Bombyx mori: one gene and its partner. The protein of the gene in region 1 purifies or fractionates together with the protein of each later gene. This does not show direct contact. Links are inferred from orthologs where the notes say so. Each region holds a gene or a part of one and is shown in the gene's direction. Other genes may lie near its edges.

What was found.
Region 2: the proteins of negative elongation factor B (region 1) and negative elongation factor A purify together in Homo sapiens (affinity purification with mass spectrometry; 8 studies listed by BioGRID and IntAct, counting the BioPlex papers as one, with this or other methods). This does not show direct contact. The link is inferred for Bombyx mori from reciprocal best matches to the Homo sapiens genes NELFB and NELFA.

The regions. Positions count from the first base shown.
Region 1 is NC_085125.1:6,339,808-6,343,802, reverse strand, and holds negative elongation factor B, read left to right. Parts: upstream 1-1,416; 5' UTR 1,417-1,571; coding exon 1,572-3,335; 3' UTR 3,336-3,412; downstream 3,413-3,995. Other genes in the region: CWF19-like protein 1, read right to left, coding at 1-86, 341-501, 580-596. UniProt on the Homo sapiens protein: Essential component of the NELF complex, a complex that negatively regulates the elongation of transcription by RNA polymerase II.
Region 2 is NC_085132.1:9,755,113-9,757,832, reverse strand, and holds part of negative elongation factor A, read left to right. Parts: coding exon 1-166; 3' UTR 167-2,720. UniProt on the Homo sapiens protein: Essential component of the NELF complex, a complex that negatively regulates the elongation of transcription by RNA polymerase II.

The DNA.
Region 1 (3,995 bases):
ATTAGGTACTATTTCAGATCCTTCTTCACAGTAATGATGTACATGGTCTGGATTTGATGGACCAAAAACATAGGTTGTCACTGGAACTGTAATTTGAGATTGTTGATAAAAAAATATATAGTCAGAAAAAAATGTATTCATAACCCACCCAAATTAATATTGACCAATTCCAATGCCTCAATAATGTTGATGCTTCATCCTCACGTGGTAGTATAAGCGACAGTATAATTATTATCAATATGAAACATGTAGAGGTTCCAATGACTATCTCATACCGGGTCGACCGTAAACTAATGAGCCCATCTCTATCGTATTAAAAATTTTAAGTCAACGTTTTTACCTTTCCTCGTTCCCATTTTATATGCATCCAGTTGTGAATTATCATCTCCAAAGAATGTTCCAACACATAAAAGCAAATCAAACTGTCCAGATTTCTTCACAATCGATTCTACGCGCGTAAACAAAGCATTGAAATTCCCATTTACATCTCCACATATTAATCTGAAAAGCAGTATGTATTAATTCATTTCAGTTGTTTGCATTGCTTTCAAACTAAGACGAAAACCAATCAGTAATTACGTTTTCTGTTTATCCATTTTTATACACAAGTGAAAGGCATTTAAATTGGTAATTTGATTGATACAAACTTTTAGATTTTAGATAAAACACTGTCAATTTTATAGAATTTAAGGCTTGGTAACGAGTCGTTTGAGCCAATAAAACACAATAATTATGATAATGACAGACTACGAAGAGATTACAAATAATATTGAACGGCTTTTAATCTGTAAACGTTTTCACTTGTGTAATAACGGTATGTGGGAAAATGAAACAAAGACGCTGGACTTAACTTCTCGGGCTCCTCCAAAAAGTACACTGAAAAATCTTAGTAAATGACCACCGTTTTACTGAGATTAGATTTCATCTCATATCATCTCATTTAATTTCATCCTAGTTGATTAATGTCTCAAATTAATCATTTTCATTTCATTTCACTCCATAATATCATTTTTCATAAAATCAAGAATATAGATTAAAATAAGACATGACTTAAAAGTCACAGTTACCAGGTCATAAAATCTCTTAAAAAAAAAAGTAATAACGGTGGTTTATTAGCTGTTTAATATCTGTGAAATTGCACAAATGTGGGAAAATGAAACAAAGCCGCTGGACGTAAATTCTCGGGATCTCCAAAAAGTCCACTTAAAAAGCCTTAGTAGATAACCACCATTTTACTGAGATTATATTTCATCCCATATCATCTCATCTCATTGTATTTCATACCATGTTATTAATTAACCAACTTCATTTTATTTCACTTCAAATTTTCATTTTTCATATATAAGAATATATATGAGTAGGCGTATGGTATGACATATTTGCCTTTCCAGTTAAAAAAATAAAACTACTGCTCGATGTCAAACGTCAATATATGCTTAATGTCAGTTGCTTGTCAATAATTTCTAAGCAGGAAACTAATTTATGTTATTTTCTGTTGTTGTTAACTTTATTTAAGATTTATTTGTGTTGATTTATTAAATGAACTGAAAAACTGAATTAAATTAAGATCGATGGCGTCGTCAAGTAAACTACCAGGCACTGGTCTAGAAGAAGTGGGAGTACCAGGACAAACTTTCTTGCGAGATGCTCTGACAAGCTGTACCGACCCATTGAAAGCTATTGAAGAGTTTCAACTTGAAAACGGTATTTTATTGCCTTCTTTAAGGCCGATGCTGCCTTTACTAGACCTCCATGGCGTTCGGCGGCTTGACTTTCATACATCAGTTCTGGAGGAATTACGTGAAAAACTCATTGCCCACATCAACGAGCTTGGCAATAAAGATAACAAGGATAATGACAAAAAACTCAAAGAACTGCTATCTAAAAGCTTCCCAGTCGTCAGAGTTAAAGCTTTAAGACCTGTTATAATGGGTATTCTTAAAAATATCCCACATATAGATGATAAGTATCTAAGGGTACTAGTTCGCGACAGAGAACTGTACAATGACACAGATACTGAGGTGAAGCGTCAAATATGGCAAGACAACCAGTCACTGTTTGGAGATGAAGTTTCTCCACTCCTCAGTCAGTACATCAGGGAGAAAGAAGATGTTCTGTTTGATCATGAAAATCTTACAAATCTATTTTTTTCCCCTTCCCCAAAAGTAAGGAGACAAGGTGCAGTTGTTCAGAAACTTGCCCACATGATAGGTACTAGTGTTAAGTTATATGACATGGTGTTACAATTCCTGAGAACATTATTCTTAAGAACTAGAAATGTTCATTATTGTACATTAAGAGCAGAGCTTCTCATGGCCTTGCATGACCTAGAAGTTCAAGACATCATATCTGTAGACCCTTGTCATAAATTCACATGGTGTTTGGATGCTTGTATCAGGGAAAGGAATGTAGACATTAAAAGATCTAGGGAACTGCAAGGTTTTTTAGACAGTATTAAAAAGGGACAGGAGCAAGTTCTAGGAGATCTTTCTATGACGTTATGCGACCCTTATGCTATCAATTTCTTAGCAACGTCAGCTATCAAAATTTTACAACATTTAATAAACACTGAAGGGCTACCTCGAGATAGTACAGTTTTAATACTACTGCTAAGAATGTTGGCATTAGGGTTGAGCGCTTGGGTAATGATCGATTCTCAAGAATTCAAAGAGCCAAAATTAGATAGTCAATGTGTCACAAAATACTTGCCTGCCTTGATGTCATTGATGGTGGATGATCAAGTGAGAGCACTACATAATAAGTTACCTCCAGATGAAAGAGAGTCTGCCATCACTACGATAGAGCACTCGGGACCTCCACCTGATGCTTGTGAAGCCTATATGAGAGAAAGCTCAGTTTGTGGTGTTATTGCAATGTACTACACACTGCATGCAGCCAAATTACGTGACCGTGGTGCCTTACTTCGCATTCTTAGTATTCTCGGTAGTTGTAAAGATGGTAGAGCATATGAAGACCCATTTTTGCATGCTTTAGTGGCACTTCTAGTACAGTTACCTGATGAGTTCCAAGGAGAAGATTTTAGTACTGTATTATTTGATGAATTCTTCTTTGCTGGACTATCTAAGGATAATGTGACAAGACACTTATTGAAATTGCTGTGGTATATTCATCCAAAATTACCAGAGACTAGAATTCAAACTCTTATGAAAGCGCTGCAGCCTGGAACTCAGCATAATGAATCTGTACATAAATTATATGAGACTTTACAACAGAAATTAAATGCGCAAACAGAACCCGGTCCGAGTGCAACTGAAATGGAATATCTGGACTCCCCGTTAATGAGTGTACGCACGCCAGCACCATATCATATGTAGCAAATATTCATTGTTCATTATTTACTTTTAAGTTATAGACATTATATAAATTATATAAATATTAAAACAATTTAAAACATGTTTTCTTGCAAAACATTCCAAACAAAATTATTGTCTTTTCTTAGATTTATAAGTCAGCAGTCAGTTGATTGTCTGTGGTTCTGGCATTGCTTTCGTCCATGAGCGATGGTTACAAAGGGGGTCCATTAGAATGTCTGCATAAAAGGGCAATAATTTTGTTTTTAAGGTTGACCAAAGGGAGACCAAAATTTCCCTGACAGAAGCATTTAAACCAACACCAAACCGTGCGTTCGTCTCCAGTGTTCACTCTATACACGTCATTAATGTTGTGAGGCGTTTCTGCGGCATTGATGCCGCGACGAAACTCGTTTTCCATAATTACTATTTACGTGTCCCGGCAATATTATAAAACGGCAATTTCATAGGCAAAGATCTATTACTCGTACAATTAATATAAATATGATAGTGCTGGTAATTATGTAGGTAACTAATATAATAGGGGTTAAAGTATGAAATTGCTGTTGTATTGTAATAGGTACTTCGAATTGACATAGAACCTTCATGGTTTGAGATTTTTGAGTGAAACGTTTTTCAAATGGTACCTATGATGTTCTTCTTTTCAAAATTTTCATTCATGAG
Region 2 (2,720 bases), on another chromosome or scaffold:
AGAGATGCATTTCCAAATGAACTACAACAATGGACAGTGGACTAGACTCAAGAAGTACCGACCTATAGACGGCATGGTGCCGCAGAAGATACCTCCAGGATCCACTGTGATATCAGCCGGGAATCAGCAACCTGTAGTTTCAATAGCCAACCAAACGATTAGCTAATGTGCTTCAGTGATAAATGACTTTGACATTATCAAGTGCTCTCAACTAAAGTGTTGAAATGTGTTTAATGTGCTTGTGGCCCCAGTATCATGCGTGACAGGTTCGAGACTGGCCACTTACTGTGCTATTTCAATTTTACTGAATGTGACGTGAAATTATATCGGTAGGTATGCATAATATTATTGATGTGAGACAATACAATCAGAACTGATGCAAATTCTAAAGTAATTTATGAAAATTATTACACTGTGCGGTATCAAAAGTAGCAAATGTAAGTACAGAATATAAGAAGTTTTTAACTGTTCTTTATACAACCCCCAAAATGATCTATTATAATGTGTGTAATGTATATTATACCATTTATCTTTCTATAAAGAAATTGATAAGAAAAAAAAAATATCTTCAAATTCACATAGTTAAAACTCCTTTTATGTTTTAATCTCGGGTTTCTCATTTTCAATTGAGATTTTTTTTTTATTGCCTTTGTAGGCAGACGAGCATACGGCCCACCTGATGGTAAGTGATCACCGTCGCTCAAGGACGTCAGCAATGCCAGGGGCAGAGCCAAGCCGCTGCCTACCATAATGATACTATCAATGATCAAGGTAGTAAGCATAATAATATATATAGTCAACCGTAAACACAAAATCTGAAGCATTATAAAAGTCAGATATAATAAAATGAAACAAATAAACCCGAGACTAAACTGTAAAAGTAAGCTTAATTATGTCTAATTGAATATTTAAAGCCAAGTCAAATTGAAATCGGAGAGCTTTATTTGCTTATATGTAATCTCAGGTACAATCTACTTGAACATGATTGTATTCATCTTATTCTGTTGTTCTATATTTTAAACTGTTTTTTCATCTATCATTGCCACATACCTATACATTATTTTGTTCTTCTGTATCCATGGAATACTATAGATGTATTTTTTTCAACGATTGTGACGAATGGTATTAATTCTTATTTTAATTCACTCTGTTTCTTATGGACCCATACATACATCTCTATTCTTTAGTCTATCTAAATGCTATATGGTATATAATTAAAAAAGTAGAAAACTGTGGGATTTTTTTTTATTGCATAGGTGTGTGGACAAGCTCACAGCCCACCTGGTGTTAAGTGGTTACTGGAACCCATAGACATCTACAACGTAAATGCGCCACACGCCTTTCAGAGAATCAGGGATCAGTGCAAAACAAAGAAATGCATTATATGTGTGGCTTAAATTGAACCAAATTAATTTAAAAACACAGACTGTGACAAATAGATATTCATATATCCATTACTATTTAGTTAATATTTTGTTCGACTTTATCTAGAACTGTTATTTTGCATCATAAATATATACCAAATTGATTACATTGGTCGTAACTACTTGGACAATTTTGACAAATACTCATGGGCCGTAATGGAAAAATTTACTATTTGTGTTCGAGATATTTCCACCAAGCCAAGTGGACCTCGGGTCAGGTGAAGTCAGGCTTCATAGATGATTCATAAATATAATAATATTCGGAATTAATGCAATAAATTATGACATGATTTGGGAACATAAAAGTTATGGATACATTGAAACAGAAAGTAGGTGGCGTTATTATCGTTTTAAAATGACTATGTTCATTAATATTTTCCTAACATAAACACTCGTTGTTTGCATCTATATATATACATATATCTAGATTTTATCACCATAGAAGTCAAACTTCTTACGCCCATAAATAAGTCAAGTATTATACAGTACGTAAATATTAAAAATTATATATGTCACATGTATGACTGCTATATGTAACTGGAATAAGGGCGAATTTCGATAATCACATCGTATTTAAAATAATTAAAAAGAGTTTCGTTGTGTTTTCACAGAATTTACATCTCTATAGTATAGTGTGAATTTGTATATAGTTACAAAGCGGTTACAAAGCAAAGAGTTAGCCAATATGTAGATTTTTTAAATTCTGACTTTGTGATTAAAGTTGTATCCAGTCGATTATATATCGTATGCTTTAGTTCACTGCGGATTTTTATAATGTTATTCGGCTTTGATTTGCAATGTTTTGACGTAATAACGTCTTGTAAATCGATGAACACCGGCTGCACGCACGAAAAAGTGTCACGTTCCGCCTGAGCATGAGCGTGCAAGCGAGAGCGCGGAACAAGCGATAGAGAGGCACGATCGGCCCAAGCGTTGGCTCGAGACACATTTATCTCTCTTCTCGCGTGACGTCACAGCGGGCATTTCTAATAGTTCTGCTACGTAATCACGTAAAACTATCGTCCGTAAACCGATTTTACAGACAAACTAATTTTCTTTTATGGCCTAGTCGCGATGCGTGATACCAGACTAACTTTCTTGTCACGTGTTCCTCACCAGATTTTTATCACTTTTTGTTGAGTGACATGGAATCTTTGAAAATGAAAAATTTATTACATATGAGTCGACTATTATCAAAGGCGGCAATCTGACTCTTGGACAATGATTGGTAAATCAGAAAAACGAATTATTGACTTTGTATTCCATTGGCAGTCACAAAACTCTTCGGAACGACAT